Solanum lycopersicum: one gene and its partners. The protein of the gene in region 1 interacts with the protein of each later gene in a pairwise test. Links are inferred from orthologs where the notes say so. Each region holds a gene or a part of one and is shown in the gene's direction. Other genes may lie near its edges. The genes, in order: ArcA2; fructose-bisphosphate aldolase 3, chloroplastic; chlorophyll a-b binding protein 8, chloroplastic-like.

What was found.
Region 2: the proteins of ArcA2 (region 1) and fructose-bisphosphate aldolase 3, chloroplastic interact in a two-hybrid assay, tested with the Arabidopsis thaliana proteins (2 studies listed by BioGRID, with this or other methods). The link is inferred for Solanum lycopersicum from reciprocal best matches to the Arabidopsis thaliana genes ATARCA and PDE345.
Region 3: the proteins of ArcA2 (region 1) and chlorophyll a-b binding protein 8, chloroplastic-like interact in a two-hybrid assay, tested with the Arabidopsis thaliana proteins (2 studies listed by BioGRID, with this or other methods). The link is inferred for Solanum lycopersicum from reciprocal best matches to the Arabidopsis thaliana genes ATARCA and LHCA3.

What each region holds. Positions count from the first base shown.
Region 1 is NC_090802.1:64,604,609-64,614,832, reverse strand, and holds ArcA2 (guanine nucleotide-binding protein subunit beta-like protein), read left to right. Parts: upstream 1-3,747; 5' UTR 3,748-3,825; coding exon 3,826-4,704; intron 4,705-5,379; coding exon 5,380-5,481; 3' UTR 5,482-5,728; downstream 5,729-10,224. Other genes in the region: uncharacterized protein, read left to right, coding at 1,018-2,212; peroxisome biogenesis protein 3-2, read left to right, coding at 7,137-7,141, 7,435-7,596, 7,713-7,912, 7,996-8,126. UniProt on the Arabidopsis thaliana protein: Major component of the RACK1 regulatory proteins that play a role in multiple signal transduction pathways. Involved in multiple hormone responses and developmental processes.
Region 2 is NC_090804.1:3,184,572-3,195,213, reverse strand, and holds fructose-bisphosphate aldolase 3, chloroplastic, read left to right. Parts: upstream 1-4,327; 5' UTR 4,328-4,579; coding exon 4,580-4,747; intron 4,748-5,761; coding exon 5,762-6,031; intron 6,032-6,172; coding exon 6,173-6,282; intron 6,283-6,420; coding exon 6,421-6,511; intron 6,512-6,729; coding exon 6,730-6,999; intron 7,000-7,192; coding exon 7,193-7,471; 3' UTR 7,472-7,705; downstream 7,706-10,642. Other genes in the region: 2-oxoglutarate and iron-dependent oxygenase domain-containing protein CP2, read right to left, coding at 1-99, 194-370, 558-605, 2,626-2,952. UniProt on the Arabidopsis thaliana protein: Plays a key role in glycolysis and gluconeogenesis.
Region 3 is NC_090811.1:4,547,765-4,557,835, reverse strand, and holds chlorophyll a-b binding protein 8, chloroplastic-like, read left to right. Parts: upstream 1-4,484; 5' UTR 4,485-4,646; coding exon 4,647-4,790; intron 4,791-5,193; coding exon 5,194-5,255; intron 5,256-5,370; coding exon 5,371-5,986; 3' UTR 5,987-6,112; downstream 6,113-10,071. Other genes in the region: ER49 (ethylene-responsive elongation factor EF-Ts precursor), read right to left, coding at 6,905-6,950, 7,810-7,898, 9,964-10,071. UniProt on the Arabidopsis thaliana protein: The light-harvesting complex (LHC) functions as a light receptor, it captures and delivers excitation energy to photosystems with which it is closely associated, here photosystem I.

The sequences.
Region 1 (10,224 bases):
GCGTAATCTGTCCTTGTTTGGTGGGCCATTTGTTTATCAATGTAAAAAAGAGGGATGGGTGTCTACCTTGCTTTGAGTTGTCAAGCTAGTATTGGTGTAAAACATACTCTTCTGAAACAATCATTAAGGTCATTGACACTCGATTTTTCATTAGGGCATCCATAGGAGTATATAAAGTCCTACCCCGCTCCATCTTGTAGAAACTTGGGTTGGACATTTAGATTCTTTCACATGGTATCAAAGCCAAACTTTGATGTATCCATTTGCACAATAACATTCATCATATTTTATTGCTCTGGGCTTCTTTCGCCCAGCTTAGTCCTTTAAAATGCTCTGAACTTTAAACCCACTCCTTCGCATGTTGAGCCTACTCTCCTCTCAGATCAAGGCCCAATTTTCAGCCTCTTGAGCCTGCTCTCCTCTCAGCCCCAGGCCCACTTTCCAGCATCTTGTAGAGACTTGGGTTGGACATTTAGATTCTTTCACATGGTATCAAAGCCAAACTTTGATGTACCCATTTGCACAATAACATTCATCATGTTTTATTGCTCTGGGCTTCTTTCGCCCAGCTTAGTCCTTTAAAATGCTCTGAACTTTAAACCCACTCCTTCGCATGTTGAGCCTACTCTCCTCTCAGATCAAGGCCCAATTTTCAGCCTCTTGAGCTTGCTCTCCTCTCAGCCCCAGGCCCACTTTCCAGCATGTTGAGCCTAATGTCTCTCCCGACATTAAGTTCACACTTCCAATCTTCTCAAACTCAAGATGCAAGTTATGTATGCTGGAGGGTTAGAGAATAAACTTGTTCCTCATCATTTATGTAAGGGTTTCATGGGGGCCAATATAGTCCTGGGCAGCTCCACTCATAGTCTTAAGGTCTTAGGTGGATGCTAAGATTCTTTCACGAACTGCTATTTGTGTAGGAAATAGTTGTCTGGTCATGACTACACAAGTTTTTGTGGAAGGGGTGCGTTTTTAGCTGCTAGGTTGCTTTCTGATTGTTTAAGTTTTTGTTTGTAGGCCCAGAGCAACAAAGGATGATATGGCTCCTAGGTGTGATACAATGTCTGAAATGGAGAAGCCACATGCTGAGGGGAGTGAAGGTCCAGAGTCTTCTCATCTTTTAAAAAGCAGTTTGTTACCTTCTAGAGACCAGGGTTGTAATGATGCAATGAAGAATAAAAGACCGTCTAAACTGCGTCGTAGAAAGACAAAAAAATCTACACCAAATGATAAGGTTCCAGAGGCTTCTGCTTCCACTGATTCTACTATTGCAGATGGCAATATCTGCAAAAGGAGGAGGAGGAGTACCAGTTCACTGGTGAAGAAAAAGAGTAGAACTGTCCCCTCTGCTTCCAGTATGGTTGAATCTACTACTGCAGATGGCAATATCTGCAAGAGGAGGAGGAGAGCCAGTTCGTTAGTGAAGCCAAAGAGTAGAGAGAGTTCATCATCTTTGCCAAATCTGTCTTCGTCAATGGCAGTTGTTGAAGAGGCTGAGTCACTTGTTCAAGACAGCAGGAAGGCCAAGAATGTTATGGATAAATGCAATTCCGCAAGTGAATATGATGATCCCTGTATTAGCCCTCAAGGTCATCCATTGGCACATCCACACTTGGATGAAGGGACAGCTGATCTTAATGTTGGTGAGAATGAAAATGCCTCTGCAACAGGGTTCCAGGATTACTCTTTACTTCTTCAAAGAAATGCTGTTGTGTGCACTGATGAAAATGCTAGTCAGTTCGAAGCTTCTGCGACACCTGGCACTCGGGAAGGTGAGGATTGTGGAGCTTCTGTTTGTCACAAGCTTAATAAATGCAATCAATTGGAGAATAATGTCAAGTCTTCCTTAGATTATCTGCCGCAAACAGCAGATGACGGCATGACCCTTGCTTCTTTTGTCTGTAAATTGCGAGCAAAGGTAAGTTCATCGTCTTCTACTAAGGTTGCCAGGTTGCATTCGGGCAAAGCTCCAAGTAAAGCTATGTCTGGAGATCACTGTAGCAGATCTTGTATATCTGGTGGTCATGATGGGATGGAGAAGAGAAGTAAACAAGAATGCACCAGTTCCAATCAGACATCAGGGACTAAAGTAGAGGATGACATGCCCCTCTCTTCTTTCATTGGCAGAGTGAAGAAAAGGGAGTGTACTGAAGTAGGGGATGACATGCTTCTCTCTCTCTTTGTGGGCAGATTGAAAAGGGAGCGACACTAATTTCTTTTTATAGATTTCCAAGGCTGCATATTATTCTCTGAAGCTATGGTATGGGCCAAAACTGATTCATCCTATCTTCATCTTGGATGCATACATCTACATTGCACAAAAAATTTCAGGTTGCTGGGGGAAACCTAATGAGGTTCACTTGTATAGGCGATCACGATTGGGAAAGTTTTCTCTATTTCCCGCTGGATGCATGAGTTATAAATTGCTCTAATGTATTTTTGTTCTTCAAATTCAGAAGCCATTCTTTCTAATACTATTGGGAGAGCTCTGAAGACGTGGTTCGGGCCTTGGGGGTACTGCATCAGCACTTTTGTCCCTTGTCAATATTACTGTAGAATTTTGTTACCTCTTCGCACTGCGATGAATGTTTTTGTAATCTATAGCATACTATTACCATATAGTTACAATTTTGGTTTGACATACATGCGTATTTTGTTATGATCTTAATGCGTAATCCTTTGGTTGGTTTCATTTTTTAAGTACTAGTTTTAATGGATAATTATAGTTCTATAACTTTTGGTGATAAGTTTAGAAAAATAGCAAGTGTAGGGATTTTTGTGTGTATATTAAGTATAAATATACACATACAAAGAATATAATTGCATACTACTAAAACTATGCCATTAACGTATTGTCTTTCTTTCCCCAGTCAGCGTTAGCTGGTTCTTACTTACATACTTACTTAAACTAGTTGAGGCCGCTTGTGTGGGTCTTGCCTTGCATGGCTGTAATTCAAATAATTTGAGGCTGGTTAGGTTGGTTATTCGGTTGAAATGCAAATGCCGTGTGAGTAGGTGTGAGAAGTTAGATATACTGGGTACGAGGAGAGACTGTAAACTTATGATAGGCCGAATAAGCATTGGAGAGAGATTGTTAGTCATGATATGATACACTTTCATTTTTATTGACAATTAGCCCTGTTGCCTGTCGTGGTATTAGCCCTATTCTTGGAACAACAGATATCTATCATATTGTTTGTTGTATCTTGCTTATCACACTATCAGTGATGTTACCTTTTTCACTAATTACTTGTTAGTTTTCTGCTGCCATTTTTCCATCTCATACTTAAATTTACACTTGTTTCGAAAAATTATTTTGGTAACAACCTCTTCACATTCATTAGGTAGAAGTATATCTTAACCTTCTCAATTCCACTTGTAAAAATTTACTAGATATATTATTATTGTTGTGGTATACTTATTCTGGTCCTATTATTTCAATTTTTATTAAAAATAACTAATCCTATGATAATTACTAACTCCGACATAATTTATGTTGAAATTATTAATTAACAATGAAATAATATTACGCAAACTATTTATGCTTGTCCCATCTACCAAACTCGGCTCGATAAAGTGGTGAAGCTAATTACCCCTCACCCTTGAAATGGATATATCCCATGCAGGCCCAGTAACATGACCCAATTTGCCTAATGGACCTGTAACCCTCAACATTTCTCGCAAAAACCCTAAAATTGAGACATACTATAAAGACATACTATAAATTCTCACCTGTGAAAGGTTAGGGTTTCTCTTCACTGCTGTATCGTCGTCTCACTTGCCTTTCAGAGGATAACCGGAGCGGCGACCACCTTGCTTGACAAAATGGCGCAAGAATCACTTGTCCTTCGCGGCACCATGAAAGCCCACACCGATTGGGTCACTGCCATCGCCACCCCAATTGATAACTCTGACATGATTGTTACTTCCTCCAGGGACAAGTCCATCATTGTCTGGTCTCTCACCAAGGATGGCGCACAGTACGGTGTCCCCCGCCGCCGTCTCACAGGCCACGGCCACTTTGTTCAGGATGTTGTTCTCTCCTCCGACGGTATGTTTGCTCTCTCTGGTTCTTGGGATGGAGAGCTTCGCCTTTGGGATCTTCAAGCCGGCACTACTGCTCGCCGTTTTGTTGGTCACACTAAGGATGTTCTCTCCGTTGCTTTTTCCGTTGATAACCGTCAGATTGTGTCCGCTTCACGGGACAAGTCTATCAAGTTGTGGAACACTCTCGGTGAGTGTAAATACACCATTCAGGACGGAGACTCACACTCCGATTGGGTTTCGTGTGTGCGTTTCAGCCCAAACACTCTCCAGCCAACTATTGTTTCTGGTTCCTGGGATCGTACTGTGAAAATCTGGAACCTCACCAACTGTAAGCTGCGTTCGACTCTTGCTGGACACTCTGGCTATGTGAACACTGTGGCAGTGTCACCTGATGGTTCCTTGTGCGCTAGTGGTGGCAAGGATGGAGTTATTTTGCTCTGGGATTTGGCTGAGGGGAAGAAGCTCTACTCCCTTGACGCTGGCTCCATCATTCATACTCTCTGCTTTAGTCCTAACAGGTACTGGCTCTGCGCAGCCACCGAGTCTAGCATTAAGATTTGGGACTTGGAGAGCAAGAGCATCGTGGTTGACCTTAAAGTTGATCTCAAGCATGAGAGTGAGATGGCTAACGAGAGTGGAACTGCACCAAAAACCAAGGTATTTTTATTATGCATTTACTTGTTCATGGTTGCATAATATTCTTCTGTTGTGTGAACATAATTCTATTATGAATGCTTGGAAATTTATTATTGTATGTAGGGTAAGATGATTAACATATTCAATAAATTCACATTTGCCTCCAATTAGCGTAGGTGTGTAGATTAACAGCTACAATTTTATAATTGCATAGCATTAGGATGATAAATTTGGTTTTGGGTCAATGCTTCAAATACGAAATTCATCAGCAGCTTATTGTTGATTGACTCTTAAGGCTTCTCTTAGATTATTCCAGTTTTCTTGTTGCCATGTTGCTTTACTTGAATAGGAAATGAGCAACCTTGGACCATTCCCCGAGACTACGTCCTTGATGCTTTTAATGATTTTGGATAGCTCTTTATGATATGAACTATTGATCGCCCCGTCAATTTTTCATTTTGCGGGATAATATGAATGTAAATTTGGGTTCTTTTGTGTTTTGTACAGCTTCTTACTCCAATGCTTATTTAGGTTGCTTTAGTATATTTAGAGGTTACATGTTCAGCAATTCAGTATATCACAAACAATGTAGAAGTGTAGTTATGTTACTTTTGTATTGATTTCTTGATATATCCACGGTTGTAACGTCTTGTTACCAATTAACATTTTGCTAATATTGCTGAATCCTTTTGGCAGGTCATTTACTGTACCAGTTTGAGTTGGAGTGCTGATGGAAGCACACTTTTCAGCGGATATACAGATGGTTTGATTAGGGTTTGGGGTATTGGGCGTTACTAGGAATTGCATCTAGGCAAGCTTTTTGGCTATAGTCTCCATTAAAGACGTTTAGATTGTCCTTGAAAATGTATCTGGATTCTCTTTGTTTCTCATGAGTTTGAGAGTTTTGATGTTCCATTTTTGGAATTCTGTTTAGAATTTCGTTACAAGCTTGTGTTGCTGTTATTCCTCCCGGGCTGGTTATGTTTTCAATGCTTTGACCTAATACATGGTTGGATAAGAACCTGCAAGTCACCTTTTTGAATTCATATTCATTGTCCTACTAGTGAAGTTATTGTTACCCTCTCTTTTCCTAGGTTTTACAAGTTTTTCAGTTAAGCAGCATAGAATGTGAAGTTGTGAAAACTTCAAGTTATCGTGAAGGGGAACCTAAATTGGTTTTGTCATTGGTATTATTTTCGAGACCATTTGAGCACGAAAGTATTGATGGATATGCTTTGTCCATTATTTTTTCATGCATTATTGTGTGTTGTTTGGTTTGTTCATACACAATTGACTGGTGCTCATGGTTTGATAGAAAAATTGATTCAAACTGTAATAATGTCATATGCAAGGGTTAGATTAGGTTACAGAAATCATATATATCGACAAAAATGAGATGTTTCTCATCTGCTATATGATTTTCGTATTTGTTTGTCTCTTCTTGAAACAAGGAACATTTTCTTCATCTAATTATTTTTTTAACCAAAAGAATAATGGGAAATGATTTTTAAAACCACTACGAAGATTAGCTTAGCTAGGATGAGATAACAAAAGTAGGGGTTAGACCTTGTTTTTTGGATCTCTATATTTGGTGACTTTCTTGTAGAAGTATCCAATGTGTTGTTTTTTCGACTTAAACATCAATTTTAGGGTTCTGAGAGTGTGTCCATCGTGATCTTAATTTTTGAATTGTGATACGTGTTACGTATGCATCAGGACATATGAAAATTAAGGTAACTAGTCTTAACAATTCCAAATAGAAATGATTCCAATTAAGAATGAATAATGGAAGAACTTGACTTTAATTATAAATTCATGGGAATACTTGAGTTTTTAGTGAGAAACTAAAAAACAATTGGTAGGTATATAAATGTGACTTCTTTCTGTTTTAATTGGTTCGAGGTTTAAAAATTAAAATTATACTTTTTTATATTATTATTTTGAACATGATATATTTAAAAAAATCTAATGTACACGAATCTAATTGATAAAGGAAATTGACTTTAAAAATACAAATCTAACAATAACAAATTATAAGAGAAACTAAGGTTTATTATACGTCTTTTTATCTTTAACTAAAGATTTCGTGATTAAAAAAGACGGAAGTTTATTCATGGTTTTAGGGCTGCAAACGTGACCCTGGGGATAAGCGGAATCTAGAGAAACTTGAGGGACAGTGTATGTAATTATTGCAATTCCTTGTATAGAATAATATAATATTAATGTCAATCATATTATATAATTTTTATTGAATGTCTAAAATAAACCAGCACATCTACTTTTAGTAATTGCAAGGTTCAAAGTCGGAAGTGGCCATCACTACCTAAAGCAATTCTTCCACGGTAGCCTCCGACGATATTGCCGGGAAAGTAAATTAAAATTCCGGCCAAAATCCAGGCCGGCGTCCGGCGACATAAACACACAATAACCTGAGCAACTTGTATTTGGATTGGATGTGGTTTGTAAATTCTATCCCTCACTTTTTACAAGTAAAATATCAATTTGGGTATGAAATTGTACGTGCAGTGAAGCTTTTGTTCTATACCTTTTGCTTTGTCGCAGTTCAAGATTCCTTTTTTTTTTGTGCTGTTTTTTGAGAAGTATTTTGTAATTGCAAATTGGTTGTTCATGTGAGATGTATGATTTGAGAGTGTGTAGTGGTAGGTAATTTGATTGATTAGAAGAGGCAACTGTTGTGGTATTGTTGTTTCAGGGTTTTGTCCTTTTCTGACGCTGGTTTTATTGGGTCAGGGAATTTTGGAGAAGGCATAAGAGGAAGGTATATGTTACATTTGGAGTTCTTGGAAGTGGCTACCTTTTGTATAAGCTGTATGAAGGACACAAGCGGCGACTCTCTGATCTTGAGAGGGAACTTGCAGATGAGAAGAGAAATGATGAACTCATTAGATCCCAGTAAAGATTTTCTCTTTTTAATGTTTATTTTCCTGTAAAGGTGTACTCTTTCCTTTTCATCATGTTTGGTGGATGATATGATATTATGCTCAGAGTTATTTGTCTCTCATCTGTAGGATCAAGGAACACTTCGGGAAAATTCAGACAATCGCCGATTCAACGACATTGCCCCATGTAATGCGACATTTAAGTAGTCGAATAGAAGAAGACTTGGACCTCACACACTTGATGGAGAGGCTGATGAAAGGGAAAGACGAACCAAATTCTCTAACTGCTGCGGAGAAGCTGGAGCTGTGGGACAGACTTAAAATTTCAAGTATGGACTTATGCACCCATATAGTTTGCTTTAGTATTCTGTAGTGGTGTTAGCTTATGATGTTGTATCTCGTGCCTATCCAGATTTTACCAGAATTGTGTTGTCTCTTTGGGCGACCACAATGCTAAGCTTATACATTAGAGTTCAAGTCAATATATTAGGGAGACATCTTTATATTGATACTGCGCGTGGCCTTGGAAGCTCTATTCAACTTGTAAGAACTGCCTCTTTTTACTTGACATGAGTATGATTATATCTTGCATTTGTATTGATTGTTCTATCTAGAATCTGTTGAAGTTATAAGTATTGCCTCTAGATGATTTGATTCCCCACATCTATGTGGTTGTATATTGGATATTCTGTGTGAAAATGAATTAGTCAGACGGTTAATGAATCTCTTTGCTATGTATTGATAATGTATCTTGCAGAGCTTTAATTAATCTGCGGCATATTGTTGACAACAATTCTCAACTCTTTTAGTAATTCCTTTATTTTTTTAAAATCAAGAATATTCTTAGAGTTCTATGTGATGAGAAGATACCTACTAAGTTAAAAATATATTCTACAATATGGTCCTTATAAAAGATCTCTTCAAAATGGTTTTGAGACCAACAATATTGCATGAGAGTGAATGTAAGGCGCATCATACCCTTGATAAATGTTGTACAAATACAATTGAATATAAGGTCATACATGTAGACAAAATTAGAAAAATTATAGCTTATAGAGAGTTGAATGAGAGGGATAGAAGATGAGTTGAAGATCCTTCAACTTTTAAGATGGATTTTTTCTCATGATGCTTGGACTTGTATTGTTTGCTTATGCACGTTGTGTATATAATTGTTTGTTTTGTATAAAGTAACAAATTTATTACCCCCACCCCCATTTGACTTGACACAAATTTTAAGTAAAGATGAAGACGTTTGGAACTTGTAGTCTAAAATAAATCTTAGATATTTGTGTGACTTATAAGTTATTTAATTAAGGAAGAGTTTCTGTTCGTTTTTCCTTGAGAAGGTAAGTAGATCATGAAAATGTGTCATTCTTTTTGGAATAAACTAGAAAGGAAAAGATGCCATATTAATTGGGACCTAGGAAGTATTATGCTGTGGTGCACCCATGGTCTTAAATTCCTGGATCCGCCTTTGGCCCGGAAGTCTAAAGCCCCTTATAATGTTAACTGTTTCATGTAATTTGTGGTTCATGATGCATCCCTTCAACATCCTACATAAAGAGTGTGTTTTTGTGCAGTAGATATTTCATGAGTAACAAAAAAATGGAAAGTTGCAGCCACCTATTTCTTGCATTGCTCGTTAGCTAGAAAGATTTAGACATTGTTCTTTCGGGTTTTCAAGATGACCACTGTTTTTCCATAAACAGTCAAAAACTGAGTTGTTGGAAGTGCAGGGGGTTAGTAAACCATTAAAGAAGATTTGTTGTACCATCCCTGCATGTATATGCTGGAATATATGGAAGGAATGAAATGTGGGATGTTTTGAAGGGAAGAAAGTGGACAACAACTTAACTACAATGTTTATGGATTTTGATGAAAACTACAGAATGTGAAGGATGAAAATAGAATGTTAGATTTCATAGATCTTTACGGGAATAGGACCTTTATTGAAGATATCCTCATCTTCTTTTTTCGTACAATAGGATTACCGACTCTTGTATGTCTTAACACCAATTTGGTGCCAAGTGACTTGCCTTTTTTATCCAAGAAGAATAGAAGAGTAGGGCAGTAAGAGAGGAAACTCGACCTTGGGCAATCATGTGGGCATGATAAAGGAATTTCAATATTATTGTCTTAGAAGTTTAACAAATAAAGTATTTAGTCAATAATGAAAGAAGACATAATACCCCCTTATTCACTTACCTCTCTGTATCTTTATTGTTTTTCATTAGGAAGACAGAATAGGATTCTTCTTCTTTTGAGTAGACGACATTGGTATTCTCTGGCACTTCTTTGCATTCGAAATAATCTTGTCCCATAAAGGGGAAGACTTGTGATGACTATCTGGATGTGTTGTACCAAGGATACCAAAAGAAATTCAAGAAGTGTCCAGGGAAAGGGATGAGGACGACAGAGGTACAAGAACAGAAACTACATGACATACGTACATTAAATGGGAGCCTAATTATGATAAATTATTAAGGTGGTCTCCAATATTGCTCGGTTCAGGGCGATCTGCTAGCTTTGATGAAGCTGGAGATCAGCTTTATATACAACGAAATGCCAAGCCTAGAAAGCTGGATGGCACCAGTGATACCATATTTTTCCATGCTTTGCCGTACTTTTCTCAATCTGAACA
Region 2 (10,642 bases), on another chromosome or scaffold:
AAGGCCAAAGTCATCAAGAACGGCACCAAATCTGTTCATCGTATTGGGACGCATTATTCTGAATTTCGTCTCACGGACCCACCTCTCAAAGTTTTCTACCTAATCAATTAGAGCCTGATAAGAAAACAGAAAAGATAAACTACAAAAAAGGAAGTAGATTGCCTGCAAATACAAGCAGCAAGGCAGCTAATACCTCAGCCAACAACATCTCACAAAATCGTGGTTGAAGCATTTCGAACGTAAAAACTCCAGGAGAGGGTTCAGACATTATGTTCCTGAAACTTTCCTCTGAGTTCTCACTAATTGCCTTGAGAAATGATGGCACAAAGAAATTTTGAGCATGCATCGTATATAATTCCCTGTGTAGAGGCTAGAATAGAAGGCAAGCAAATTAGAAAAAGAAGGCGATCAACCCTGCAAGTATATTTTTGAGCCGAAATATAGTTTAAGGGTATATAAGCTATTTCGTATAGTTTAACGGTAGTTTTGACCTTTTTCTGTATTTACAATTATCATTAAAATATTAACCCCAAATCCCTTCAGCAAAATGTAAATACCTGATAGTTTGATATAATCTTCTGTCTGTATTCTCTATGCTTCTGGACCTGTTAAAGCAGAGGAGATGAAACAATATAATATTGATAGAGTTACGAAAGAGAGAGTGTGAATTTCACAAATAGCAGGGAAATTTTTTGGAAACCAAGAACAGTCAGAGAAGACTTTATCAGCAGACAGCATTCCAAATAATTCGCATGTAAACAAGGCTTTCACTAGGAGACTGGGATGGTTTGCTCAACTATTCCACCACATTATAAACAATAACCAGGTAGGTTTAACTTACATTATCAGTTCTTTTAAACCAAAATTTTGGTTGTTCATATATTCATCTATACTGGGGTCACATCTCCCCTGAATTATTCAAAAGAAAAAAGCAAAATGCTGTGTCCAACAAGAAAAAAGCTTAGTATGTAGAACACGACAAAAGGGACACAACATTATAGTCATCATAAGATAGAAATTATATATCTAGTCACTGCATTTTTAATCAGGATCCAATCCATCTGAAAAGCCTTCAAATCATTAGCAACTGGCTTATATATGTTTCAAAAAAAAAATCTACTCTCATTATATGCCCACAAAAAAAATAGAGAACTTCTTTTTTTATTTTTTATGGTGTAATATTGGTCAGAGATAAGCTTGAATTGAAAGATATAGTAAGGATTCATCTTGTCAAACCCAACTTCTTGCCTTCTTGGGGTTGAAGATAGTAGTAGTTGTTGAAGTAAACAGCTACTCAGTTTTGCAATAAAATTGTAACCCTTTCAAAATGTTCATTGTACTCAAATTCAAAGTAGATTGGACCTTAAGCTTACAAATCTCTTTTCCCTTTGAAAAAGTAATAATTGCATTGAATTTGTGGAAAATATTTTTGTGATCCTAGTGTGTATTTAGAAAAAAGTAAAGAACTACACCAAAGAAAGGTTCTCTACAAATAACAGCAATCGTCTACGCTAACTATCAATGGTGAGTGCTTCAAAACTTCATGAGAAACAAACAACATCCCATATTTGTACAGAAATATTTCCCATCCAGTTAAAAGATTTACTATTTTTTTAATTCACTTCAGATAGTCTTTTAAATTTTTACTTCTCAAACTATACAAAAGATAAATCAAAATCCAAAAAATAGCATAAACACTTCTGCAGAACACAAGATCAACTGATAGTTAAAGGCGGACACTATGTTTTCCAAGTTATTCACTACTAATCCTGAGTATCTAACAGCAACTTGCATAAGGCAGTTACAAGCAATACAACGCCTGAAAAATTTCCAGTAATAACCAACCAAAAGTCCCAGAAATTTTCATCTTTTTAACTTCTTTTCGTTATTGTTAGCATAACAGCATTCTATCACATCTCAATTCACAACTCTGCACATAATTGAGCTCAAAAAACTCCCTTTGCCATTTTTCTAGCACTAACTAACAAAGGATTTTCATGTACTCAAATTAGAAACAAGCACTAGAAAACCGGAATCCACATTGAAAATAACTGTACCTAGAGGGTACAGCAAACTCAAATAAAGGAAAAATACATGCTAAATCTTATAATGCAAAGCCCACAATTTTCCAGCTTCTCAACAGTCTATCACAGGTCAATTCACAGCCTCACATTCTAACCTAATCAAAATAATCAAACAGTGCAGAAAAAAACAATGAAGCCTAATACATAGAAAAAATTGCAATCCAAAGCACAAAAAAAATCTATCTTCTAATTTATTTCCATTTTCAGCTTCAGTGTTCTATCACAGCTCAATTCATATGATATGTACACTAATCAAACTGTGCTAAACTACATGCAACATTTTGCAATACACCTCCCAAATGTTTTACATTTTCAGCTTCTTAGCATTCTATCTCAGCTCAGTGCCCAGAAAACTAGGATGCTAAATACATTGCAGTACAAATCCCCACTTTTATTTCATTTCCAGCTTCTTAGCATTCTATCATAGCTCAATTCACACACAAGCTTACATCGTATATACACACTCATCAAAATGCACATAAAAATAAGGACTCGACACATGCAAAACTCAAAATGCAGAAATGAAAATTCGATAACTTACACGAGTGCGTTCGCCTTCAGGAAAGTAACGGAGGAGAATTTCACGCATGAAATGAACCTTCTGGTCACGTGATGAGTTGAGAAGAGCAGGCGGAAGATAACGTTCAAGGGAACTAAACAACAACGGACTGAAATCCAATTGAAGGTCATCATAGTTATCCGGTTTGTGATCAACACTAGGGTTCAATCGCAGCCGGTGAGAAGCGTACGGTGGGTAAACAACACCGTTTGATCCATTCCGAACACAATTCCCCATGCCATTTCCGGTAGAGTTTGTTGATTGACCATCCTTCTTCCAATCCATAGCTGTTGCTCCATCTTGAGACATTGATTCAGTTCAACAATTTTTGATTCAGATTCTGAATTTTGGGATTTGCAGGAAGAATTTTGAATGTTATAGGATCATTCTATCAAATGGAGATTAGGGTTTTTTTTTTCAGCTGAGATTTTGCTGAGGGTGATGAAGATCTTTTTAGGGTTTAGATTTGTCAATTCTTAAACATTTTTTATTTTGTTAATTTATTTTATCTGTTTTTCTAATTTTATTTTTTAGATAATTAGAATATGTAACTTTAAGGCCAGTTCAAAACCGATAATTCGAATAGAAAATAGGTTATATAGTTAATGATTTTAATAACGATTTTAATGATTTGAGATATTTTCTTAAAAAGTTACTTAAGTGAACTCAATCGTAAATTAAAAAATTATTATTATACTCTATATATTTTCAAACGAATAACTCACTTTCCTTTTTCGTTTGTTTAAAAAAAACGATATTTTTTTTAGTAATATTTTAATTTCAGTTTTCCACGTGACATGTTTAAAGTCACGGGATTAAAAAGTTGTAATTTTGTATATTTGACATGACTTTTATTTAAGATCACAAGATTTAAAAGTTTTAATATATATTTCTAAACTCCGTGTTAAGTCAAACTAAATCACTCTTTTTGAAACGGAAGGAGTATCATTTTTCACATATATAGCGTGGACTTAGGGTTTAGTTTCATACTCCTTCCATTCCATATTTATTGAATTGTCGAGGTGTTTCATATCCTTTTAAGAAAAATATATTAAAATATAAATTGGACATAGTTTTTCGTTTTTACCCTTATTAGTTATTTGTCAAATATATTGAAGTCATCAAATTAAAAATTCAAATGAAGGGTAAAATTAGAACATTCTAAAAGTAGTTTTGTAAACTTAATAATTTTGGAAAATGAAAAATGTCTCAAAAATTCACTGAATATGGAATGGGTGTAGTTTATTTCGTTGTGTCAAACTCTTAATTATTCTATAAATGTGATAACCTTTGCTTTTGAACAAAAATGCAATGCACGATCCATTTGGTTTGTCCCCTTCTTCTAACATTTTATATATAAAAAAATGTCAAATCTTAACATTTAAATTGTTAATGATCAATAACCGATAAAACAGTAATTAATAAATCAATTAATTTAATTTATAAACCTACCAATAAATCAATTCGATATTTTAAAATCAAACCGAACCAATCAATATTCATCCATTCACAAAATATATTTGGGTTAAGTAACATTTTTCATCTACACCAAAACCTTTCAAATCATAAAAACATACAAAATAAATTCCACATTCATTTTATTGCGTAAAAAATTTAATCTAATTATTTCATTTTCATTTTAATCTAATTATAAAAATATATATTACCTAATAACATAAGGCTCGAATTCGAAATCTCGAGTTTTCTTATTATTCATTTGGTATCTCCGTAGCTTGAATTGTCCATACTGTTTACTAGCGGACTCTTCGAGGACACCAAATAACAAAAAAATAAGCACACACACTGTTAGCCGTCGCTACCAACCCACCAAACTTTCATTTTCTATATATTGTTTCAACAGCGACGTTTTATACTCAAAAAGCTCAATTTCTTTTGTAGAGAGAGAGAAAAAAGAGGCGATTTTCAGGAGAAAAAAATGGCGAGTTCTAGTTTGGTGAAGCTCAACGCATCGTCATCTTCATGGATCGGTCAACAATCGTTCAATCAACGGTCTGGATCTTCCTGCCGGTTGCCTGTTTCGAATCGCCGTGTTTCAGTCATCCGTGCTGCTGGATCTTACACCGATGAGCTCATCAAAACCGCTGTAACACTCTCTCTCTCTCTGTTTATCTATATATGTATATATGTATGTGTGTTTGCGTTTCTCACTTTTATGTGTTTGCATGGTTTATGATCGGATCTATAAGTTTTCTTTTCCGGTGTAACTTGATTTGTTTTATATTTTTCGTTTGGATAATGTATTTTTTGTATTGAATTCCGCTGTAATACTGGAATTTTTTGCAACTGCGCTGCCTTGGTTCGTTGGATTGGTTGAAATTGGAAAGGTTTAGTTTGGTCAACTTTTTGTTTATTTAGATTTTTATGCTGATGTTGATATGTTTGGCTGTAGTATCAGTTGGATCTAGTAGCTTCTTTTTAGTTTAGATCATGCATTTTAAGTTGAATTTTTGGTTAGAAAATGTGTGCTAATTTACTGAATTTTGAAAGTTTGCTGCTGTTGGTTCAGTAGGTTGATGGAAGTTTAAGAGGTTTGCTTTTTGGTCAGAATTGTTGTGTTGGTATTGTTTATAGTGATGCTGATAAAGTTGGCTGTAGTTATAAACAGCTAAAACAGCTACATGGTTCATTCTAATTTTACAACAACTACAACATGTTAACATACCAGTGTAGTCCTGCAAGTGGGGCATGGGGAGGGTAGTGTGTACAGTGACCTTACCCCCTAATTTAAGAAGGACTTCAAAATCTTAAATTTAGGTTGATGACTTGAAAATTTGTTTCCCAGAGCTACATGAAAGTGATATCTCTCCCAGGCACACACACTTCATTTGTTTGCATGTTTTCTGATTGGATTTAATATCTTGGATTCGCTGGATTAGGAAAATGTTTAGTTGGTAAACTTTGTTTTTATATGTTGATGTTGATATGTTCAGCTGTATCTATAAATTGGTTCTCTTGCATGAAGTAACAACTACATTGTATCCACCCGCTTATAACTCACCTTTGCTTAACATTCTTGTAAACTTGGAGAATGCAGGGTAAAAGATGTTCTGCAAAATGTAATAATGCTGAACATTTGTCTATTGCTTACTTGATGTAGAAAACTATTGCTTCTCCTGGAAGGGGCATCCTTGCCATTGATGAATCGAATGCAACTGCCGGAAAGAGACTGGCGTCAATTGGTCTGGACAACACAGAAGCAAACAGACAAGCTTACCGTCAACTCTTGTTGACCACTCCTGGCCTAGGTGATTACATCTCTGGATCCATTCTATTCGAAGAGACACTTTTCCAGTCCACTACCGATGGGAAGAAGTTTGTTGATGTCTTGCGCGATCAGAAGATTGTACCTGGAATCAAAGTTGACAAGGTGTCCTTTTTAACTTGTTTCTATGCCTTGTGTAACTTCTTCTGTGCTTTAGGATTTTGCTGCTACCTTTCTTAAACTTTTGTTGCAAATATTTTTGTTGGTGAACTTCGTGCAATTTAACAGTTCTTTTTTTACTTACAGGGTTTGGTTCCCCTACCAGGATCCAACAATGAATCCTGGTGCCAAGGATTGGATGGATTGGCTTCTAGGTCTGCTGAATACTACAAGCAAGGGGCACGTTTTGCCAAGTGGTATGTTGTGACCTTGCACTTTTCTACTGCTATTCCTCTCTCATGTTTTCTCTTATTCTTTCCTCGGAAGATCAAAGTGCATTTAACTTTTCTGAAGAGTTATGGAACATAAATGGCATGCGGCTTCAAAATTTTCAGGAGAACAGTTGTTAGCATTCCTTGCGGTCCTTCTGCTTTGGCTGTAAAAGAAGCAGCTTGGGGTCTTGCTCGATATGCTGCTATATCTCAGGTAACTTTTAGGACTTTTTCTATCTTTCCGAAGTTGTACTAGAAAATGTGAGATAATTAAGTCAACAGACCCACCCCCTTAGTTGGTTGAACTTGTTTTTGGATATCCTCCGATCTTCAGAATTGGAGGATAATTTTTAAGAATCTGCATGATCTGGGGAACAATGGAAGTTTGTCTTTCTATTTATGGATGGTTAAAGATCATTTTTTTTCCTACAGGACAATGGTTTAGTGCCAATAGTAGAGCCTGAGATTCTTTTGGATGGTGACCACCCAATAGAACGAACCCTTGAAGTTGCGGAACGTGTTTGGGCAGAAGTCTTCTACTACCTAGCAGAAAACAATGTCGTTTTTGAAGGTATTTTGCTCAAACCTAGCATGGTTACTCCTGGTGCTGAACACAAAGAGAAGGCTACCCCAGAAACCATTGCTAAATACACACTTACCATGTTGAGGAGAAGAGTTCCTCCTGCAGTTCCTGGAATCATGGTACGACTTACTTTCTTCAATTCGCTCATTTGTTTCTCATTTGATCAAAATTATCCATAGAAAGATTAGACTTTATAGAAACTACACTCTTGGACCTTATTTCTTTGAAAAACTATAGTTAAGTTGCTACTTTCTTTCTCTTTCTCTTTTTCTTGTTCAACTGTGCTAAAAATCGTGTTTTTCTACTTATCAGTTTCTGTCCGGAGGACAATCTGAAGTGGAAGCGACACTCAACCTCCACGAAATGAACCAGAGCCCCAACCCATGGCATGTATCTTTCTCATATGCAAGAGCACTCCAGAACACAGTGCTCAAGACATGGCAAGGACGTCCTGAGAATGTGGATGCTGCACAGAGGGCACTCTTGATTCGTGCAAAAGCAAACTCCTTGGCTCAGCTCGGAAAATACTCCGCAGAAGGTGAAAGTGAGGAAGCCAAGAAGGGAATGTTTGTCAAGGGCTACACCTACTAAGCACACTTTGCTTTGATGCGACTTTCTTTTTGTGTATTTTTCAGTTTTTGTTGTTTGCTAGATTCGAATGCTGAAGAGAGAACTAATTGCTCTTTCTTCTTTTTTGATCTTACATTAGTACTGTACTTCACTAATAAGCTATGAGGGGTGATTCGTCGAAATACAATCCCAGAAAATGCTCGGTTGTGTAGAAAATCTTGTATAATTATATTGAGAACTTCTTAAAACGGGTAATATTTTCCATGTCTCCATTTGCTCTTCATAGTTTAAATTCCTCTTTGTTAGCCAGAATCTTTTTTCAGAACAAAACTAATTTGCTTTGAGAATTTGCAATGAGTATGATTATTTGTTGCGTTCTTATCTTAGTTCTGGGGGTACGACTTGTGAAAGCATAGTTTTAGTATGAATTTGAGGTGTTATGGGGATACTTCATTTGGTACAGCAACCATGGCTGAACTTTAAATTACAAATATTTAAACCATATTGTGGTTAACCAGTGTGTATTATACCCCCTTTGACATTTCATACAACATTTGTCCAAATAAAAATACAGTCTAATGTAAAGTATTGGGTCCATACAAAAGAAACTGCCTCTACTCCATCAACAAGATTGAACTCTGCAAAAACAAAACCGAACTTAGCTATATATATCTGCTTTGGGAAGCCTTCTTGGCGGGCTTAGCTCGTTTTTAGATTGTTGTTTTTCTTGATTGAGATATGACAGCTGAGAATGATGGACTAATCTGAATGTAATGCCGCCCCCTTCCTATAACCTGATCAACAAAAGAGAGTTGATTAGAAATAAACCAAATACATAAAGTCAATAAGTTTAGTAAGACACAGAAAAAGCTTTGGCAATATTGTAGGAATTGAGATCACACGGGACTCAAGTTTCTGATGATAAGAACTAAGAATAGTTTTTCGATAACCACTTCTTGTGAGGCTAAAAGGATGCTGCCATGTAAGAAACTATGGTCAATGTTGCTCGGACTCTCCAAAAGGATCCAACACTCACTCTTGCATTTTTGGAGAGTGTGAGCATATAGGCTGTAGTAGTTTCCTGGCTTCAATCATATTCTTGACCATCATCTCCTGAAAGGCTTCTTAACTATTAGCTACTGTTAAAAACTGTGAATCGCTGGAACAGAACTACATTCCATGTTTCCAAATACTTAATGGAAGAATAGAAAGAGTAATTGAGTAATGAGTAAGGACCATGGTCTATACACTTTAGAGAAGAGGCTTTAAGAACACTAAATAGGATAACTCCAAAGAATAGGTGGAAAGAAGGTGAATCTAAGTGAAGGCAAATTCAAGAATAGATTGCGTACAGTTTCTATCTCATAATCCTAAAAAAGGCACTCCTTATTACTTAAGCCAAGGTCTCTCGGAAACAACTCTCTACCTCCACAAGATAGGGGTAAGTCTGCGTACACTCAATCCTCCCATACCCCACCTGTGGGATTACACTGAGAATTCCAGTTTTCAGCATAAACAATTTCTACTCTAATAAATTATATATATGACATGTGGGCCATGAGCCAACAAGAAATTAACAGAAGTTCTCTTACCTAACCCAGCTTTGGGAGGAAGTCTGTTAAAAAACTTCCAAGTGAACAAAAGCTTAAGAGAGGCGAAGGAATTTTCTAAGCAACCCTATAAACTTAAAATTTAACAGCTGAGGGAGGAGTGTAGATGTTGGAGTAAATATCTTTAAACTCTTGTTGGAAAGAATGGGATCAGTTAGACTCACAAAATCCAAATAACACGCACAATTATATGATAATCCATAGCAAAATGGCAAAGTGGGAATGGTTAGGATCTCAGGAGCAATGTTTCAAAGGAAAATGGAGGAAATGGATCACTTCAGTTGTAAATGGGATAGAGTTACCGAAGACCTTAATTGTTTTCACATGACCCATTTTCCATTTAAGACACTTATGGAAACCTTCTCTACCAACTAAGATGCAATTTCCAGGTAGAAAGGACTTAAATTTATGATATTTTCCATTTACTGCTAGAAAGAAGAGAGCCATCTCTAGAAAAGAAGAGAGCCATCTCTAGACCAGATACTCAACTTAATTTTTTAAAGATGAGTAAAATTAAAGAGACCTTTTCTTTGTTTATCCTCTCCCCGGTTGAGTTGGTTTACAGGTCAAGAAAAAGAATAATCTTCATATCAACTTTGTGGAAAATGTAGCTCAGAAGAATATGAACCAAGACGGTAAATGAGAGTGGGAAGTAAATAGACTCAATGAAAGCAAATTTATGTTCTTCGGATACTGCAACCAAGATCAGGTCCCTCTTATACATGTTCTATATAGTACTTATATATGGACCCTAGAAAGGGCATCTCAACAAAGAATGAACAAGCATGGGATAGAGGATCCCTTTCAAAGACCACAGTAAGTATAAAAATGAGTTCAACACGTTAATCATTCAAAAGGATAGATGGAGATGAAGTTATGATACATGATAAGCCAGAATGGTACAGAAGAGGAGCTTGTATTGAGAAGGACGCTGTAAGAAGTCCTAGTTAATTCTATCAGAGGGCTTTCCGCTTTGCAAGTATCAATTCCAAAAGAAAAGAGGGATAAATATGGATAATCACCAGTGACTCCCATGCTTTTAATAATTCTTGGGTAAGAATGACACCGTCTTGGATAATCCAGGTCAGACCAAGACATTTTCAAAGCAGAAACAATTGTAAAAATCACGGACTTAAGGCTTAAGCAAATTAGTTAATACTATCCAAATTTTTTAATAAAATCACATAAAAAACAATCATAGGTTTATTCAGCATGCGTCCAGGGAGCACAATAGCAGCAAAATAATAACCAAGTATGTGACGCCGTGATAATAGAGCTTATAATACATATCTAGGAAGCTCTCTGGACTAGGGGATTTGATAATGCACTTACCCAGAGAATGAACAGAGACTTCCTTTCCTCCTTATTGATCTCTGCTATTGGTTTTGAGTATGTTTTGGTTATTATTGGGGCACACTACTATCACCTCCAATTCTGAAGGTGATTTAGGTACTATATTGTAAAGAACAAACCAACTGATATTAACACCCACCCAGCTTCTTTTTGATATTTTGATTAGACATGTGGTTGTTTTCTTTCATCTCTTGTTATATTATTAGTATGTTGTGTCATCACATCGAGC
Region 3 (10,071 bases), on another chromosome or scaffold:
CACAGAGAGAGATGAAGAAAAAAAAAGTTGCCTTTGAAAGGCCGGTGATTTCTCCAGTTTTCAGTGTTATGATGAAAAACGAACGTTGCTCTGTTTTTTGAAATTTGAAAAAAAAAAGTAGACAGGGACAATAATATAATTCTAAATGGGCTTATACTACCTAGGATTCTAATTAAACTTTTATCCGCAATTTTCACATATAGCAAATAAAAAAATTTATATTTGTATGTTATAATAAAATTTATATTTATATGTTATAATAAAGTTTGCATAATAGCAAACATAGAAAATATATAATTCGCTATATATATTATTGAAGCAAAATTATATAAAACGAAGTGTATAAAACAAGAAAGAGAAAGACACTTGGGCAGAAAACTGTATAAAAATGAAGTGTATAAAATGAATTGTATTATTATAAGTGTATATAAAGATTATATACAATTTGAATTTGTATAAAATGAGAAAGAGAGAAAGACAAAAGAGACTTGACAAGGAATATACAATTGAATCGAATTGTATAAAACGAGAAAGAGAGAAATTAGATACAATTTGAAAATTGTATAAAACGAGAAAGAGAAAAAGGCAAAAGAAACTGGGCAGGGAAGTATTTTTATTGTATAATTATAAGTGTATAGGACGAAAATATATATACTTGCATGCGTATATACAATTTTCTCACGCTTTATACAAACAGAAACGCAATTTATAGATTTCCCTTCTGTAGTGAGAAAGACGAAAATGGCAAGCGAGATATGGGAGAGTGGCGGACGAGATCTGAAAGAGGGAAGAGAAGGGAATAAAAAAATATATATTTATACAATTTTCTCTGCTTTATACAATTAGAAACAATTTTTATACATTTGTGTTTGTATAAAAAGTGAGGAAGCGAGCGAGAGACTGGAGGAGAGTGGCGAGCGAGATATTTGGGAGAGAGGCGCCTGGCAATTTTTTGCAAACGTTTGCTATGAAGCACAATTAAATCAAACCCTAGCTACTCCATTTATTTTAGATTATTAGTTTGCTATGATATACAATTTTTATCGGAATATCGGAGATTTGATTTTATAATCGTAAAAAGTTTTTATTTTTTAAATAAAATATAAAAGATCTGAACAAAATATCTGTTTAATTTTTAATAAGAGATTATTTCCGTCAAACTATAAGAGTTTGGTCAAGATTTTGGAAAGTTAAAAGGGTTCTTTTTGGAGTTTTTATTTAGAAAACTTAAGGTGTTTTGACTATATTTTAGAAATAAAATAAGTATTTTTGAATGGTTGGAGATTACTATCCATTAATGGGAAAAGGGTCTGATATACCTCTCAACTTTGTCATTTAGAGCTGATATACCCCTTGTTATGAAAGTGGCTCATATATACCCCTACTTGTAAACAAATGACTCACATATACCTTTTTCCTCTAACGGAAATGAAAAAAAAATTAATTTTAATCTAAATTTTTATTATTTTTTTCTAAAAAATATAATCTCATATGAGTAAATTTAATCATCGTCAAACATATTTTTTTTTGACTTTTTTTGTTTCAATGACTAATTTATAATTATTATTTTGATAATCAAATTTATTTTTGTTTCACTAATATTCTTGTAAAACTTATTGTAGATGACCAAATTTTTTCTTCGAATACGAAATTAAATTACAATACACACACAAAAAAATAGTTTAATTTTTTTTTAAACTAAGGAATGAAAGAAAAAAACAAAATAAGAATAAGAAACTCAAATAATTATAATAAAAGAATTCAAAAAATAATTTATGTATGAAAAAAATTAAAATATACCTTGAACTTTAATAAAAGAATCATATATACCACTAAATAATTTTTTTAAAAGAATTAGAAGTAATAAATATAAATTTAAAACTAATTTTTCAACTTCCGTTAAATGAAGAGTATATGTGAGCCATTTTGTAATGGCAGGGGTATATGTGAGCCATTTTGTATAACGGTAAGGACATATATGAGCTAACGAGGGATATATCATCTTCAAATGACAAAGTTAAGGGGTATATCAAACCATTTTCCCTTCATTAATTTCCAGAAATTGTTGGTTCAATATTGATAAAAGTAATTTTCAAATGGATTAGTTTAATGTAGTAGTTTTCTTCAAAAGTTTATTTTTCTTCCAAGAAAAAAAAACTTATAATTAGAATCATTTTTCTAAGATACGTCGATTTTTTAAAAGTTTTGTAAAATTAATTATATTTGTGATAAACTTTTTACCTTGATAAAATTTATACATACATGTACTAGTACTATATAAACCAATGAAGATAAAAGAGTTCAAAATTATAGTAAAATCACTTTGGTTATGCTAGATTTTAAATATTCTTACACCGTAATTTCTTTTTTTTAAAAAAAAAAAAAACATGATCCATAACAAAAGTCAAACTTAACGTTTGAGGCTTGCGCTTTTACGTCCAGAACTTACTCCTCAAGTTCGAAAATGTATGACTTCTATTACTCCAGAGTGTTTTTTTATGTAAGGGAACTCTTAAACTATTCAAAAAAATTTAAAAATACCTCTCATTCACCTACTAGGTTAAAAATACCGTTTCATCCACCTTTCTGGTCCCCAATTACCCTTAAACTAACAATCTTTTATTTTTTTAATTATTATTATTATTATTAATTATTATGTGGCATCTTTTTATTGGATAAATTTAAATTTCAACCCGCCAAATTTTTTCTACCCATTTAACCCATATCCACATTCTTTGGCCCAAACCCAATTAAAAAATTATTCAACAATGTCAAAATAAAATTAATGATTGAATCAATTAGTATTTGAATTTGAAATTTACATAATGATATTTGAATTTAGTCATATCAAATATAACTAAAAAGCTCTTCTTGATTGTGTTTGAATTTGATCTTTCTTGTTTCTTCCTTTTGGTTCACACCATGAATTCAATTTTTTTAAGGAGAAATTACACTAGATAGCTCTTCTTAATCGTGATTTAATAGTGGAATTGATATAATTTGACTTGGTCTCGTTTCTTTCTTCCCCTTTTGGTTTACACCCTTTTCAAAAGATTCAATTTTCATGGTTGAGTTACACTAAATGAGTTGTTATTAATTGTGTTTTCATGGTCGCATTGAGAAAACCTGAATTGGGTCTTCTTATTTCTTCCTTTTGGTTCACTCTTTTCAAAGATTTTATTTTACATAGTGGAGTTACACAAAAAAGTTTTATTTGATTGTATTTTAATGATAGCATTGACGAAATTCTAACAAAATCAAGAAGAGCTTTTTAGTTCTAATTAGCATTAAATTCAGTAGTTATCATTGATTGAGGTTGTATATGGTGATGAGAAAGAGAGTAAGTTATTAGGTTGGAATGGTAGAGAAGAAATGTTCAAATATTTTATTTTTGATGAATTTTTAATTTGATTTGGGTAAAAAAAAATGTGGATATGGGTCAAATGGATAGAAAAGTTTTGGTGGGTTGAAATTTAAATTTATCCAATAGAAACATGTCACATAATAATTAATAATAATAATAATAATTAAAAAATAAAAAATTGTTAGTTTTAAGGGTAATTATGGACCAAAAACGAGAATGAAGGGGTATTTTTAACCCAATAGGTGAATGAGGAGTATTTATAAACCTTTTCTAATAGTCCAGGGTTATTTTTGACCCTTTTCCCTTTATGTAATCCGCCTAAAAACTCACCTCAAACACGTTTAAAAACACTGGAATGGATAAAAATGAGACGATGAACGTGAAATGTCACTTGTGAACTTATTTTCCTTTCTTTCATTAGATTAGTCATTAACTTATATTTATTTTCAAACAAACTTTTTTTTTGTAAGAAAAACAAAAAGGAGACAATGAACGTGAAATGTTACTAGAAGAAACTTAATTTCCTTTCTTTCATTAGTTAAGTCCTTATCTTTATTTTCTAACAAACTTATTTTTGTAAGGAAAACATCTTCCAAATACATTTTAGCCATATGTGAAAAAATTGCCATACCAAACTGACATCCATAATGTAAAACTTCTCAAAAGTATTATTTAGTAGAAACTTTTGAAGACCACCCTCTTGCCTTAACTTGTCTTTTTTTTTTTCTTCTTTTTAAATTCAAATTGATTGTCTTAATCTAATAAAAATTGTAGGTGGCACATCAATACTTCGACAATGGAGATCTTAGTAGATTGACTATCTGGCGTTTTATCTTATTGGTGAGAGTTCAACTCTCCCTCCACCTTTAAAACAACACTTAAAACATATATTTAATCCTCTTTTGTGTGGAATACTTAATAGTATTGATATTTACATTTACTTGAATTCCAAAAATGAAATTAAAATCTAGAGCAAGTATTTGCAGCCAACTAGAGTATCTGAAAATTCATTTATGAGACTAGGAGTGTATAAAATCTTCTATCCAAGTAATAATGCCACATGTGCTCTTTTCATTTGACAATATAATCCTTAACTTTATCTGAGAATTCAAGATTTCTTATGTCCACCACAACTTCTCTGTTTTCCATTAGCCCCACACTACACTTGCTGGCCTATACCTTTGTCCCTTATTTTGCTTGCCACCTTGTGTCTACTACTCTTGGAAGCTGAGTGTGTGTTCATCTTCAACACAAGTCAATTGCTCTAATCAGAAAACAAAAGATGGCAACACAGGCATTGATCTCTTCATCATCTATTGCATCCTCAACAGAGGCTGCCAGACAAATTCTAGGAGGAAGACCTTTCCAATCTCAAATCAAGAAGGCTTCCTTTGTTGTAAGGGCTACTGCCACTCCACCTGTTAAGGTAACACCCCTTTCTTCTTCCTTTCCTATGTGAATAACAAGAATATTGACATACATATACATACAATGGTCGTGTAGTTCGAATCAGCATATAGCATTGTTTGCATGTGTTGAGGTTTTCATCCCACTTCATTTACTACTAGGACACCCATGGGTTACATTTGGTTTGTGTGTGTATGGTGTACAACAGTGGAATTTGAGTCAGCTTTGCCTTTTGAGTTTTGACTAGTCCACCAGATACTTGTACTTCAAAGCTTAGGTAGATGAGAGAAGAAAGCATATGGCATCACTCCTCTCATTTGAAGCCTAGAATCTGGGGTTTTCAACTCACTTCATTTACCGTCAAGCTACACCATTGGGTTACATTTGATTTTTATGTATTGATATATTTTTGTGTTGAACAGCAAGGAGCAAATAGGCCTCTCTGGTTTGCCTCCAAGCAGAGCCTTTCATACTTAGATGGCAGGTAAGACTGATGGGACTCTCACTTAACCCTTATATACATTATTTCATAACTTGTGCATGTTGTCTATGCAACTTGTCTGATTACTCAATGAACTTCATTTGTATGTAATCCACAGCCTTCCTGGTGATTATGGATTTGATCCCCTGGGACTGTCAGACCCTGAAGGTACTGGAGGTTTCATTGAACCAAAATGGCTAGCATATGGAGAGGTCATCAATGGAAGATTTGCTATGTTGGGAGTAGTAGGAGCCATTGCGCCCGAGATTCTTGGAAAGGCTGGTCTCATCCCACCAGAGACGGCCCTTCCATGGTTCCAAACAGGAGTGATTCCTCCAGCTGGAACATACAACTATTGGGCAGACGGCTACACACTATTTGTACTGGAGATGGCACTCATGGGATTTGCTGAACACAGAAGATTCCAGGACTGGGCCAAGCCAGGTTCTATGGGTAAACAATACTTTTTGGGACTAGAGAAAGGCTTGGGAGGTTCTGGAGACCCAGCATACCCAGGTGGACCTTTCTTTAACCCTCTCGGGTTCGGAAAAGATGAGAAGTCTATGAAGGACTTAAAGCTAAAGGAGATTAAGAATGGAAGACTAGCTATGTTGGGTATCTTAGGTTACTTCATTCAAGGTTTGGTAACTGGAGTTGGACCTTACCAAAACCTCCTTGACCATTTGGCTGACCCTGCAAACAACAATGTCTTGACCAGCCTCAAGTTCCACTAAACAAGGAGCAAATCACCCTGTTTTAGCTACCCTGATCTGATATGTAAACATTATGTGCAGATATTATTTTGCATATCATTGTAATCAGCTAAAAAGGACATGTCAACAAAAACCTGTTTTTCCTGAGTTTTAGCTGTTAGCTTCCTGCTGCAGTTTCTGCAGCATTCTTTAGGATCATGTGTAAACTCAATTCTCTAAGACAAAAAAAAGAGCAAATACTGGATTAAACATAGCATTAAAAGACGTTAAACTAAATTTGCAGCAGAGAAACATGGATGAAAGCACAAAGGGATGTAACTTCCATGACGAATAGTCAGACCAGTAATAAGTAAACAGCATACTTGTGCAGGCCTCTTAATTATCAGTCTACTATCCTCAGTTGTGTCCAAATCTGACAGGTATTCCATCATAGGGGAAAAAGAAGTCGCTAAACAATACAGACAAAACAAGGACATCATTTGACATTATAAATAAACAATCATGGAAGAATAATCTGTCTGACCAACCAAACAAAATTAACTCGGTGAAGACCTTATTCTATTTCCTTTCTTTTTGATGACCAAGAAATCCAAAATGGCTAGTGGCGTGCAGTTTGGAACTCGGTGGATACTGCCCCTCTCCACTCTTCTAAACTTAATATCATGCTTTGTCGAACCCATGACATGCAACTAATCCACCATCAAGTGTTGCTCTCTTACCACTAGACCAAAACACTAGAGCAATGAAGACCTTATTCTCTTACATTACTGGCTATGATTCAAAATGTAATACAAAACCTCTTCAGTTTAGCTAGCGTATGGAATCACGTTCAGAAGTGCCACCATGAAGACTACAATCAGAAGATCAAAAACTAGAAAGTAGAGGCCTAAAGTACAGTGTCTTAGGTAGTTCTCTCACGATCCTGACATAAATTGTTCATCAAGCAGCATTAGCCAAAGGTTCACTTTCATTTGATGCTTCAAGCCTGCAAGGTTATAACCAATAATACAGGAGTCAAACAATGCAAAAATGAATTATAAGACAAGGCAAGTAGTGATGGCCTAATGGCATCCCATTTGCAGCTCTGAATTAGCTACTTCAAAGAACATGCAGCTCTGAATTAGCTACTTCAAAGAACATGATGAACTCTTCCATCTATCATCTTTTCCTGACATCTTACGACAGAATGTGAAGAAGTAGTAGTACAATAAAAGTTTTGTTACTTCATTTTGGAGTTATTTTTATTAGTATAATGCTTGTGCAATGCCTCGCCAAAAATGACAAGCATTCAAGAAAAACAGATAATTGGCTTTTATAGATGCTTAGCTTTCTAATGACAAATTAGTGTTTGGCACGAGTGCAAACTATTTTAAACCATTCGGTAGATATTATGAAGAAAAAAAATCCAAAAAATATTGTTAAAGCCCCCATGGCCATCTGCTAGACAGTGGTAAGCTCATATATTGGTTAGTTTCAAGAAATAAGCATTGTTTTGTCGGGATCTCTTTCTATGTTGGATCTCTTTCTAGGTGAACTGGTTCAACTCATGGACTGCATGAACGTGCAATCGGAAACAAAATCATTATTTTACTAGAAAGTAAAAGAAGAATGTATTCTAACTAAGCTGAAGTGAAATATGCAGTTAGTGGCAGGAAAGGAGGAAAACACTCATTAACAGAAGAAAAAAACCCACTTTCTGAAGCTTAAATAATATTCCTGCTTGAACTGGCAGGTTTCACAATCATGACATTAAATTCAAGATGGAAATTCAAGGATAACTTTTTCTGACATAATTTAACCAGGAAAAGTAGAAAATTACAGGTCATAAATATGAGTATAATTACCGCTGAAGTCCTTCGCCAACTTCCATTCTTAGAAAGCTTCCTATCTTAACTGGTGAACCAACATCCTTGGACAGATTGCTTAACAATGTCTGCAAGTTTTTCATAGATGAGTCAACTAGTTAGTCATCTATATAAACAACATATGAGAAGGCAATACATGTAAGAAACTATGCAAATTAGAAGCTGCAATGTCGTAGAATCTAAAACATGATTTAGGAACCAACTAAAAAAAATAACATCCTCAGAAATCCACAGCAAAAAAGTAATTTGATGTTTATAACAAGCATTTACTTTCATTTGGAATGGAATAGTCAGACAATTGCCAGGTGGTACCAAGTTATCTTTCTTCCTTCAAGGTGATATGTTAATTTAAGACTTGAACCTTGTACAAATCTCCTAACATATGTTATACAGAAATATATCTAGATAGGACCCAACACAACATAAAAGATACAAATTAAACAAGAGATGAGAATATGCACAAAAGTATGTTTGTAACTTCCAGCCTAGCCATTAACTCCATATGTGCAACAGTAGTTGGGCCAATAACAGTGAAAGTGCTTACAACTCTTTAATTTTCAAAAGATGGGCTCCCAAAAAAACAAATTACACAAACTGGTTTAAGTTGTTAGTTCCACAGATGTAAGAACCTTGTCGAAGAAGAGCTAAAGCCCTAAATCTCGATCAGGTTGAGTGCCTCATGCGCTTAAAAAAAACAATCAAATGCCTGTTCTTTATATTAAAAAAAAAGGTTCATCTATGAGGCTACTATGTTCGCTGCATATTCATCAAAACAATTTGTATGAAATATAAATTCAACTGATAAAGAATCTGGAATAAAAACAAATATGCAGGGATAAGTCAAAGTGATAGGTAACCAACTAAGCATTGCAAAAGGGTGACAAAGAGGACCAACAAGAACTATCCAAAACCAAGCTTCAAGACCCTATTCTGGGCATAGTCATATAGAAGAAGAGCATGTTGATTTAAGAGTAAGAGAAATAAGGGGTCGGTTGGTAGGGTGTATATGAATAATGCTAATTAGAGTGTATTAGTAATGTTTGCATTAATTATACATGATTATTTCACATGCATTGTTTGGTTTGATTTATTAAAAATAGCATGCATTGCATAAAAATATTTATTTACAAAGATACCCTTCACAATTATGGTGAAAAATATGTAAAAAAAGTTGAGGGGCAATGGGTTCTTAACCATGCTAATGCATGCATTAAAATCCTTTGCATTACTAATACCTAAAAATTCATGATATTAGTAATAAACCTTCATACACAATAGAGTGTATAACAAATACTTGCATTAGTTATGCATAGCATGAAAAAGTGTACCAAACAAGGTATTACTAATACACATTTAATAAATGCATTATTTTTGCTAATACACGCTACCAACGACCCCTAAGAGATTGAGGCCTATAACTCTACTGATACCTATTAAAGCTGTGGAGCAGTAGGAGAAAATTATGGATGAACATCTTAGTATATAAACAGACAATTTCTGAACTTTAGTATAAGAAAACCAGATAAATCTGAGTTCGAAATTAAAACTGTATATTAGCATCTGAATCAAAATTTTAAGATGGTTCTTCGGCTTAATCTTATATGGTTCCTTGAGATAACTGACATGCTATTGTATTTTAATTGACTGCAACACAAGTAACAAGTCCGTCAGTGCTTCCTCTGATGCCTTCAATTCATTCTTCTTCATTTTGTCGTTTTGTTGTGGTGTTCTTTTTCTGTAGTTGGTATCAGAAAGTTCGCCTAAACTTGGATAAACTCCATAAAAAGGTGGATCACCCAACAAATGGACCAGCTCAAAGAGAGGAGGAAGGCAGGAACTATGCTTTCAGAGGTGTCAGCCAAAAATTATGACTACGGGGATATTTTTAGTTCCTCTGCTCAGTCATTATTCAATATAGTAATTTTTATTCTCCTATTTTGTATACATACATAGAGACACATAATCTGTCTTCATTCTGCATTTTTAGTCACTAAAACGCATGTACTTAGTTGCATTTTGCACTTAAAGCATCAGCAGACCTTGGACTATGGCAAGAGAGTGACCTTCTAGTGAAAGGGAGTAGAAACAGAAATCTAGCAAAATGGCATCCTAACTAAAAGATTACTTTCTTACCTTCACATTCATTGTGTCATTCACAATAAATTTCTGCTCCATCAAAACCACTTCCTCAAAATACTTGCGCAAACGACCTTCAACCATTTTTTCTACAGCAATCTGAGG